Linked DNA regions of Drosophila melanogaster. The protein of the gene in region 2 purifies or fractionates together with the protein of the main gene of each other region. This does not show direct contact. Each region holds a gene or a part of one and is shown on either strand. Other genes may lie near its edges. The genes, in order: Synd, Hibch and vanin-like.

The links.
Region 1: the proteins of Hibch (region 2) and Synd purify together in Drosophila melanogaster (affinity purification with mass spectrometry, with the first as the bait; one large-scale study listed by BioGRID). This does not show direct contact.
Region 3: the proteins of Hibch (region 2) and vanin-like purify together in Drosophila melanogaster (affinity purification with mass spectrometry, with the first as the bait; one large-scale study listed by BioGRID). This does not show direct contact.

Annotation. Positions count from the first base shown.
Region 1 is NT_033777.3:20,830,684-20,834,436, forward strand, and holds the start of Synd (syndapin), read left to right. Parts: upstream 1-2,115; 5' UTR 2,116-2,190; intron 2,191-3,713; exon of another isoform or gene 3,714-3,753. Other genes in the region: CG31223 (uncharacterized protein), read left to right, coding at 505-533, 593-1,748.
Region 2 is NT_033777.3:15,355,478-15,359,230, forward strand, and holds the start of Hibch (3-hydroxyisobutyryl-CoA hydrolase), read left to right. Parts: upstream 1-1,751; 5' UTR 1,752-1,840; coding exon 1,841-1,843; intron 1,844-1,912; coding exon 1,913-2,797; intron 2,798-3,003; exon of another isoform or gene 3,004-3,061; coding exon 3,062-3,334; 3' UTR 3,335-3,753. Other genes in the region: Atg4b (Autophagy-related 4b), read right to left, coding at 1-138, 197-1,151.
Region 3 is NC_004354.4:6,200,858-6,204,610, reverse strand, and holds the start of vanin-like (vanin-like), read left to right. Parts: upstream 1-2,051; 5' UTR 2,052-2,068; coding exon 2,069-2,140; intron 2,141-2,204; coding exon 2,205-2,847; intron 2,848-3,228; coding exon 3,229-3,753.

The DNA.
Region 1 (3,753 bases), 5.5 Mb from region 2:
TACGGTCATATTAGGTCCCTTACTGTTTATTTGCAGTTATATTTTTATTTTTAATTAATTAAGTTGTTTTTCATTTATATAAGCATTTTCAATCTCTCATAAGTCTTTTTACATTTAAAGTACTTAAATAATATATTATTATTCTCTTTTCATTGATGTTCGTAGTTGATAGGTGTATTGTTTAGTTACAACGAATTTTTGTAAAAAGACTAACTAGTTAATATTTAAATATATTTTATCTTTAAGGTTCATATTTGATATACATAGTTATTTGCTAATAAATTCCTATGTAAAAAACAAGAGAAATTGCGTAATTCAAATTAAATCCAACTCTTATAATATCTAAGTCGTATAATTTGTTTACAAACAACTTTATTTTGTTTACAACAAAATAAAAACTTATCCATTTGAAAAGCCGTTACTTAACGAATCGTGGTTACGGTCACACTACAGCGATCAGCTGTTGGCGACCGCACTATTTTGTTTATTCCATTTTGTTTGACCATGTCGGAAGCCGATGAAAAGTGTCACTTGTAAGTAGTTAACAAGTAATATTAATTATAGCGGTTCAATATATATTAATCTCCTGCAGCTGTCGCGAGGTGTCCTTCAAGTACACCTGTCCCAAGTGCAATGCTTTGTATTGCAGCGTGGGATGCTACAAGTCCAAGGAGCACCTTAAATGTTCCGAGGCTTTCTACAAGTCCTGCATTCAGGACGAGCTGACCCAAAACACGGTAACGCAGGAAAGCCAGGAGGACATGCGGAAAATATACGACATACTGAAGAGGATGAGAGAAACGGACAGTGGTTTCAATCCCCAGGAATTTGATACAGATGGCCTGGAAAATAGTTTGGACTCGGATGGAGGCGAGGAAGGAGAGTCAGAAGAAGATGAGGCGGAAGAAAACGTCACCGAGGGGGACATACTGGATGAAGACCTGGAGGAAGACATTGCAACTCGACTGAAAGGCGTTGATATCAACGATGCGGATGAAGTTTGGAGCCGGTTAACTACAGAGGAGCAAGATGAGTTCCAGAAATTGATCACCAATGGAGATATCATGAAGCTTATGCCAGACTACAAGCCCTGGTGGATCAAGCCGAAGAACTCTAAGATTGTGATTATACCTACACCCGAAGAAGCTGCCAAGAAAGAGAGCCGTGTTCCCGAAATTTTCGGGAGCATTGCCAAATTCTCCGATATATGCAAGAAAACTCCGTCTCCGTGCCTGCACTACAATTTGTGGAACATACTAAGCGCCTACGCCTGTGTGGCTCGTTTCTTTGGCGGCGAACAGAGGACCAATGCCAGCGAGGCAGTGGCCCACCTTGTCAATCTCAGCGCCACCTTAAAGTACGGCACCAACTTCGAGGATGCTGAGGACGCTATTGTCTCCGTAGAGATGGAAGCCATCACCACGGGTAATGGTCCTGCCGGCGCGGCTGCAGTTGGAAGTGCTGCAGGAGGTGCCAATTTCCTCGTCGACAACAGGGAGCAGCTGCAGCAGGATGCCCGCCAGTTGATGGCTACGAAGGAGCACAAGTTGGCCGCCCTTAGTGATGTTCTCTATCTGCTGCAGCAGACGAAGGCAATCAGTCGCCGTAAGAATACCCAGGAAGCCGAGTTCCAGAAGCTGTTCGCTTTGGCCAGCGGAAGTGTGCAATTGGATCGCACCAAACTGGCGCAACTGGTTCGCAAAATCGAGTTTATGCTGTCGTATGTGGCGCGGGAAGAAGTCCTTTAAGCAATCCTCTAAAATAAACATTTCAAAATAATTCTGTTTTTATATTGTCCACAAAATTTGGAGCGGTATTGACTATAGATTGATTGTTATTTTATTGTTTTATTTTACTTGGAATTTAAATACAACTATGTATAATTAGTGTACACATTTTGATTGGAAACTTCAGTATTTTAAGGACTTAAAGAACAAATTGGTTTAAGTAAAACTTGACTTTGTGCTAGTACTGTAACTAGTACTTAAAAATATGTACAGATGTCTTAAAAATAAATGTATATCCTAAATACATTTCGGTATTTTTGTATTCGTATGGAGCGGTATTTTCAGCTAGCCGCGAGGTGTATTTGAATGGTCGCGAAACGGTCACACCTCACATAGTTTTTTTAGTTGGCGATTCCAGACACACACTCGAGTTGTAGTGCTTTTTTACGCTATTTTGTTATTGGTAGGTTGTCGCCCTGCTTCGGTATGAACAAGTGCCAGAGACCCAAAGCCAAGGATTATTTAACAACCATTTAAATGCAGTGCAGCTGCAGCAGCAGCAACAACAAAAGCGATCGCAATTTAGAACAGAACATTTCATGTAAACGCGTTTGGGTGTAGCGGAATTTCGCTTCCCGTGTGTTTGTGTGACCTAGCCGAGCGTGTGTGCGTGTCGGTGTGCGTCTGGCAACAACAAAATCCAATCGGCCAGCAAGTGCTCTTCGTACGCTTCGCCTGCTAAAAATTAGTGCACAGCGAAAGCATTTTAATAGCAGCGCCCCAAGAAAACCTTATGTAAGGTGTGCTGGAAAACGATGCAAATATTTACAGTAGAAACGGTCGAGACAAGTTCAATCTCAAAGATAAACGAGTTTCTTGGTTGTTTGGCGGAGGGGGATTTCTTATCGCCTAAGTGTGCGACGTGTTGGTTTAGATGTGCATATACGTATGTGTGTGTGTGTGTGTGGCGCGAGTGCTTGTGAGAGCGCCGTAAAGGTGCTTATCTATCTCCACAAATATGCGAAGTATGCGTCAACCTGTTTGTAAACTTTCTGCTGGCCATTTCCACACGCAAAACACGAAAATCGCACTGAGCCGCGATCCTATATTTATATTTATAGCCGATGATGGGGAAAATCCGTAAGCGCATCGTGAGTCGATGACGCCCAAATCAAGTCAACCCAAGATACAAGATTCCACATTCAGCAGACCCAACATCACCAATCTACACATGTGTGTAGGTGATTAAACTTCAGCAGAGGTTATTATACATATATAAATAAGAAAGCATGTATATAACCGGTCAATGCTGCTGATAACATAACCGTTATTCACCATACGGGTGTGTGCGAGTGGAACTCAAACTGACTGCATTGTTTACAAACAGCTGATGCAGGGAAACTCCACTCCACTGATAAGATACCAAGATTTCCCATCGCCGAGTATGAAAAAATTTAGCTCGCTACACAGAGAGAATTGAAATGTTAAATGTTGTCACACGTAAGGGTCTCCAATACGATGTACACTGCTGCTCTTAGGTTAGACGCACAATCGTTTTTTTTTTAACAAAATCGATCATTTATTTGCATGCTTTTTTTAATTGTCCAAAATGCTTTTCTTATCAAAGTTTTCTGTTGGTCATTGAATTAGATGCAGCTTAAATTTCTTCGTATTGCGTGGACAAGTATAAACTGTTGTATTGAAAAAATATAACAAATAAACGAATAAAGTGTTTTCGAGCTACATTTGAAGAAAAAATGGGTAAAGCTGCTGCTTATTGGAACGTCAAAAAGTAGACTTCCTACACTCGCAAGGATTGCCTAATCGGAACATTGCCAAACAGATAAATCGCAGCTGCAGAACTGTTGATAGATATTTGAAGGTTCCAGAGGCATATGGGAATAACTTCAAAGGAAAGAAAAAAGCACTATCAAAGCAAGCAGAACGCCAAATTGTTAGAATTGCTTCGAATTCTAATTTTCGAATTTGTCCGGAGTAAAAACAAGCGTATCAACTGTTCAGCGTA
Region 2 (3,753 bases):
GCTCCCCCAGCCGCACCAGGGCGTGGATGGAGAAGGGACTGCTTTTTGAGGAACTGTCCCCGAACCACTTGACGATCTTCTTATGCATATTGTCCTCGTAAGTCGAGTGCAACTGGGACTCTGAATCATAGCGCCAGCCTGAAGCATAAAGGTTTATTGGTAATCAAACATATTTGTGCGGGTTCATTTAACTTACTTCGCCCTAGGAAGTGACAGATGAGTCCTTGAGCGAAGAGCATCTGACCACTCCTTAGCATACAGCCCCAACCGCAGTCCGAGGTGTAGTTGGAGCCATTCATTATTGGGAACTCTCGACGGTAGGTCATCCAAATCCTACTGTAAAAGTCACGACGAAAGCCTTCGATGCCCTCCTCCCAAGGCTGTTCGCCCACTTGGTTCTCCACCGCGTCCATTCCCAGTTCCTGGGGCACCACAATCTCATCGATCTGCTGCGGATTAAGGGCTGGATACAAGGAGGTTGATGTCGATGTGGCCTGAATGCTGTCGAACGCCGATGTGGCGTTATCGGGGGTGGTATCCGCCCCGCTGGGCAGCTCGGTGATGGAACTTTCCATGCTTACGGGCGGAGTAAAGCGTCGATGATAGCACCGTCCTAGCAGCCACACGGGCTGCTCCTTTGAGAAGCTGGTCTGCCTCATCTTGCCGCTCCAGCCATACTTCACATTGTGCCACATTGCGACGAGCTTGGACTCCATGCCCTTGGTGGGAGTACGGTTTGCCGACAGGTCACCGGGTTCCTCGTTGTGCTGCTCCACGTGACCGCAGCTCGGACCGCTGTTGCCGCCGCCGTAGAGCTGACTGAAGGCGTTCATGAAACGTGATGACGTCGATATTTTGCGCTGCGGAGTCGCTGTCGCAGCGTTTTCCGTCTTGAGGTTCAGATTGGCACCTGATGTGCTTACGGGGGAGGGGGAAGGGACGCGTGGAACGGCGAATACAGTGCGATGAATCGTCTGTATGGGGGCCGCCTGCTCCTCCTCGATGGCGCCGTCCTCCACCAGCGGCAAGGAGAGCGGATCCGCATCCTGGCCGCATATCCGGCTACCCTCTACAATGGTCCCCTCGCCGGCGGCTTCGAAGAGCATCAGTTTTTCGTCGGTCAACTTGGAAAGGAGGCCGTCATAGTTCATCTGGTTGGTGGCCGTGGACGAGGACATGAAAACAGAGGCGGAAGTGGTAGAAGAGCTATGACGCTTTGTCCGCAGCTTGCGGAACTTAAAGAACTGCGGCATTGTAATCTTGGTGCGAGCCCCTTGCTGGCCCTGGCTTAACTGACAACCGACCACCGATTGCGTGCTAATTACAAATGTTTACTCACCGTTTATTTGTTGACAAAATAAGATAAAGTAACTCCACGAAATTTGTTTTTCTTATTCGCGAGAAGTACAATTGCCAATTTCAGTGTTGCCAGACTGCAAATCTGCTCTATTATGAATATGTAGGTAATGTGTGTTCTTTTTTACGTTTATCTACTAATGAGTTCAAAATGAATAGTGAATTTTGTTATCAACAGGTTTGTGTTAAACTATTTTTAAACAATTTGTATCTTTATCTAAAATTCTTATACATATAATATTTGAATTAATAAATTAAAAGGCGCCTGGTATAGGTCTGCCCTTGGCATGTCCATTTAATAGTAATATTTTACGCGGAAAACGATTTCTGGAACACCCTTATTTACTTCCGGCATGTGTGCGGTCTGGCAGCTCCGCGACAAGAATGACCAGCTGTGCGGGTGCTAAAATTCTATTGCGCAACGCTGAATTTCTAAACACTCGCTTCGCCCCACACACAACATTACTGACGACAGCCGCTCAAAATGGTAAGTAATGCAAATTCCTGCAAATAGAAGCGCTTAGCTAATCGAAAACAATTCGATGTCGCCGTCCAGCAGGGCCCAATTCAAAGGTTGGTGTACACATTTGGTCATCGCACCTGTAGCCAATTGCCGATGATCGGCGGAGCAACGATATCCCAAACAAAACCAACAACAATGGCTCTCTCCGTTCGCCAATCCTCCTCCTCCGTGCTGGCCACGGAGTCCTCTAACAAGGGAATGATTATTCTGAACCGGCCCAAGGCGCTTAACGCCATCAACTTGGAGATGGTACGCAAGATCTACAAGCACCTGAAGAAGTGCGAGAAGTCCAAGTCGCTGGTGATCATCAAGGGCACAGGTGACAAGGCCTTCTGCGCCGGTGGAGATGTGCGCGCTCTGGTCGAGGCTGGCCCTACGGATGAGTCGAAGAGCTTCTTCCGGGAGGAGTACAGCACGAATGCCCTGATCGGAAACTATAAGATTCCCTACATCGCCATCATTGACGGTATTACCATGGGCGGTGGCGTGGGTCTGAGTGTGCATGGCAAGTACCGGGTGGCCAGCGATCGGACACTGTTCGCCATGCCCGAGACGGCGATTGGCCTCTTCCCGGATGTGGGTGGATCATACTTCCTGCCTCGACTGCAGGGAAAGCTGGGCCTCTATCTGGGTCTCACAGGATATCGACTGCGCGGAGCCGATGTCTATTACTCAGGCATTGCTACGCACTACTGCGAGAGCAGCAAGATCCCTGATCTGGAGACGGCTCTCCTTAACTGCCCGGATGCGGATGATGTGCCTGAGCTGCTGCAGAAGTACCATTCCCCGCCAGAAAAGCCCTTCTCGCTGCAGCCTGTCCTGGAGCAGATCAACAAGAACTTTTCAGCGGACTCGGTGGAGGGGATTCTAGAGAATCTGCAGAACGATGGCAGTGAATGGGCCAAGAAGACGCTTGAGGTGAGTGGGGCACAGTTTACTAAGTGATAAGAACACAATCGGATGTTAATTGGCTGGGCCAATCATCGCTTGACGCGCGCTTTTAGCGCCTAAATATTTGATCCGTTTCCAGCCAATTAGCAACGCTTTAGTTGCTGCACGACTTTTCTTAACTGAATAAGTTACACTAGCTCACAAACTCACACCCCACACCTTGTTGCATTTTTCTATTAGAGTTGAATTTTATTATTGAAATCAGACACATTGCTTTTTTCTTTGTTTTAGACGCTCTCGAAGATGTCTCCCACCTCGATGAAGGTTACGTTCCGTCAGTTGGAGCTCGGATCACAGCTGTCGCTGGCTCAGTGTCTTATTATGGAATATCGTCTGGCCGTGCGTCATCTGGAGCGAAGTGATTTCAAGGAGGGAGTGCGCGCCCTACTCATCGACAAGGATCAGAAGCCCCAGTGGCAGCCAACCAAGCTGGCCGATGTCACTGAGGAACATGTGCAGTGGTTTTTCCGCAAGCTACCGGACACCGAGGAACTCAAGCTGTAATGTAGCAAGCTTAGTTTTGTTTTTGTTTGAGCCTTGGCATCCAATCCTGTTTGTCTTCCGTTGAGCCGCTCATTCTTATATGCACACAACTTAATATCTTTGTATATATCATTGCAAGCTTGAGTTATGTTATGCATGGTTCCTTGCCTGCCGTTTTGCAATATTCTTTATATATCTTTAGCGTTCTGTGGCCACAGTTTGATGAGTTCTGTCGGCTAATTTTCCGCAATCTCTTCTCTGTTTCATTCCAACAGCGAATAACTTCGAGGAAGAATCCTATTCGCCGGTATTTACCAATAACGATTGTGAAATTCAATGCATTTAAATATATGATATACATATATGCCTATATATATTATGTACAATTCGTAGTCCTAATACAATCAATAATTGTGCCTAAAGAATCGTTAGAATTCGTT
Region 3 (3,753 bases), on a different chromosome or scaffold from region 2:
GTACTATCGGTATTATCGATGAAATTTATCGATGATATTGCAACTGAATGTTTTTTTTTTATTTCTTGGAAGAGCATCCTGTTTTCCTTGTTGGGCGAATTAGATTTCTCTTTCAACCTTTTTGTGCCCCCTCCCCTTTCTTTGCATTCACCCACGTCGGCTTTTGTTGCTGTTTTTGTTGGGACCTCGTCTTAGCTTTTAACGTGTTTTACCGTTCGTTTCTTTTTGCGCATAAAATGAGCAGGTAACAGGCTTGTTGTGTGTGTGCGGGTGTGAGTGAGTGTGTGTGTGTGTGCGTGCACGGTTGAACTCCCATGGGTAAATTTTCGTATTTAAAATATATGACCAAGACATTTTCAAACATTATTTTTTAATTTTTTATTCCTTTTCATTTTTTTTTTTTGCCTTTTTCGTTCTCCTCAGCCTGCTTTGCAAACTTTTTGCGCACTTTTGCTTGCCGCAAATCAATTTGCCAGGACGGGAAATAAGTAGAGCGAAGTGGGGCTGAAAAGAAAGGAAGCGGAAAGGATTGCCGAGTAGACTTTGTTAGTGGAGTTCCCCCGAATTTATGCTGCATCCAACCGGAGAAGACGAACGCCTTTTTCCGGGGGCTTTGAGTCTGCAGTGGAGCGTATGGAAATGCATTAAGTTCCGAGATGACTGCACGTTTTGGGATTTGCGAATGGGATTATCTCGGCACGAAAAGAGATCTTTATACTTATAAATGCTGCTGCATATTTATGGCAACTGAATATACCCGATAATGCTTAAAAGTGGGGGCAATGTCGATGTCGACTCCGCAATCCCGTCGAGTACTTTGTGGCCCAAATTAGCCGGTGGATGGAGTTTGCCACCTATTTTCATGGCTGACGAATAACTTTGGATAGCAATTGATGGAAAAAATGCACAAAATATATAGACAAACCAGACCAAGTTTCGTAAACAAAACGGGTTTCAAAAAATATTTAACGCAATTAGCTTAGCTGTTGCCTATCAGACTCGAATTTAATTCAGTTAGTATGCAAGCAACAATAAAAAAAAAATCATTTCGCAAAACAATGAAATCTTGTCGACAAGTGTTATTTGCCACAATAGCTACAGGTAATTGCAGATAACATCGAAATGTGGAGATAACATCTTAGACAGCTATATAAATATAAATGTTCTGATAACTCGACAACAAATCGAAAATGTGTACGATAAAAATGGATCAATTTGGATATGTCCTTTAGATGCAGAGCACTCAGCTAGTTTGATCAGAACATTTATGACCAACACGTTTTAATAATAAATGCCATAAGAAAAGCCACCTGCCCTGTGGCATAAAAGAAAATCAAAGGAAACCTACTAACATTGGCAGCCCAACTCTTGCCATTTATTTATTTTGCCAATTGTGGTAATGGATGGTAAACATTTAATGGGCGCAAATAAAAGTCAATGTTGTAGTAAAAATCGAGACAAATCAATTGATAAAGATGTCGATCATATAGTATAGTGTCGAACGGAGAGACCATCGGACTTGGCTAGTCTGGGTTGTGGCGATAAGACAGCCGGCAAAATAGTTGGCCCAAGCGCAGCCAGTCCAATGTACAACGCAGCGAACCCACTAATCATGCTCACGGTTAGCGGACATGACTCCCGGAATAGAACAAAGCCAGAATAACCCATAAAAAAAAACCTTTGAAAATTAGCGATTCAACCAATCTTGAGCTGGCTATCTGGCCATTTTCTGGCTTTTTAAGGCAGAAATTCCACATCTTAATTAACTAAGGAATTGATGTAAATGTAATTCTAAAAAGCTTAAATTCCTAGTTCAATAGGGTAAAATATATATATCCTACTCTCTGTGATATTTACTTTAGTTTTAGGTTCATTATCACTGGTAGTATTGCACTGCGAATATTGGCAGCACTGAAAAGAGCGAACCATTCGATGTTCATAGACCAGACCCCAAAGATAAGATTAAGTAGTTCCCGGTAAATGGTGGTTACCACTTCGGTTGGCCACTATAAAAGCCTCGATGCCTGAAGTTGTGCCAGTCATTAGCGATTCTCAGGCTCCATACGAAATGTCGAATACCTGGTGGTGGCTTTCAGTAGTGTTACTAATCTTAGGGCTAATGCCTGGCATGAGTCAGCAGGTTGGGTTTCTAATTGGCAATTGGCAATTGGTGGATTAGTTTTGATGGTTAACATAATTTTCAGGCGGCCCTGGCCGAATCGGATTACTATACGGCCGGAGTGGTGGAGTTCAAACAGTCGATCTTAAGTCTATCGGCCTGGTCGGATTCCCTTGCTGGCTATGTGGAGATCATAAACTCTGAGAACGCCAGTGCCACCGACATCATTGTGTTTCCCGAGAGCACACTGAACTCCGCGGGTTCCACGACCTTTGTGCCCAATCCCGAGGATCAGATAAACCCGTGTTTGAGTGACCCCAATGCCACCTACTATGAGGAGTTTCTGGTGACCCTGTCGTGCGCGGCCCGCAATGCCAGTAAATACATTGTGATCAATCTGACCGAGAAGCAAAAGTGCGAGGATATTCCCGAGGATACGAGGCCATGTGCATCTAACGGACTGAATGTTTTCAACACCAATGTAGTGTTCGATCGTCAGGGAGTCGTGGTGTCCAGGTACCGAAAGGTTCATCTCTATGGTGAAGCAAAGAACAGCACTTTTCTGCCCGAGCTGATCACCTTCGAGACAGACTTTGGGGTCACCTTCGGTCATTTCATCTGCTTCGACATCCTGTTCTACACTCCCGCCCATCAACTCATCGTGGAGCAGGGTATTACGGACTTCGTGTATCCGGCCATGTGGTTCTCCCAACTGCCCTTCCTCACGGGTAAGATATAGACATGGGCGATAAGGAAAGCGGGGGCTAGTTCACTGACATGTGTCTCTTATCGCCGACAATGGATTGCTGATGATGGCTCTCGCAACCTCTCGAGATGGAGTGCCGGGAACCGATTATGCGTTGGTATCAAGGCTGTAAAAACTAAAATGCCACTAATGGCAGGTGATTAAGCAGCACAGCAATGGCTTGTAATTATAAACTAGGTCTTATCGCAGGAGCTATATATTAGAGTCCTGAATGAGTAGGTCAAAAAGTAAGCGTCTAGTTTGCACTGTATGAGCTTTATCTTTTTATGCTTGCCACGCGAATTCTTCGGAATAGTAAAACGAATAGGAAAATATTACATTTGTTAAATGTCTTATTCCACAGCTGTTCAGACGCAACAAGGTTGGGCCTATGCCAACGATGTGAATCTCCTGGCGTCTGGAGCCAGTCGTCCCTCCATTGGCAATAGTGGATCGGGCATCTATCACGGACGTTCCGGCACTTTGACCAGTGTCATGCGCCAGGACTCCGGCGAGAGGGCCATCTATGTGGCCCAGGTGCCCAAGTATACTCGCAGTAGATCCCTGAAGAAACGTGCGAAGAGGAGTCTACAGGAGATCCAAACCCGTCAGGTGGCCTCAAGCTCGAGTTTCTACATGAAGCGCGATTACGTGGAGAACTATGAGTCTGAGTTGCTCAAGTTGGACGAGGGAACTAGTGGTGCTATCAATAGAACCATCTGCCAGGGCAGCTTTTGCTGTAACTTCGACATAGCGTGGAGATCCTTGGGTACAGCGACGGAGAATGGTAGCTACTATAGCTATCGATTGGGAACCTACGATGGCTGGCGCAACGAGAACAATGTGGATGCCAATTACATACGTAATTGTGCGCTGTTCACCTGTTCTG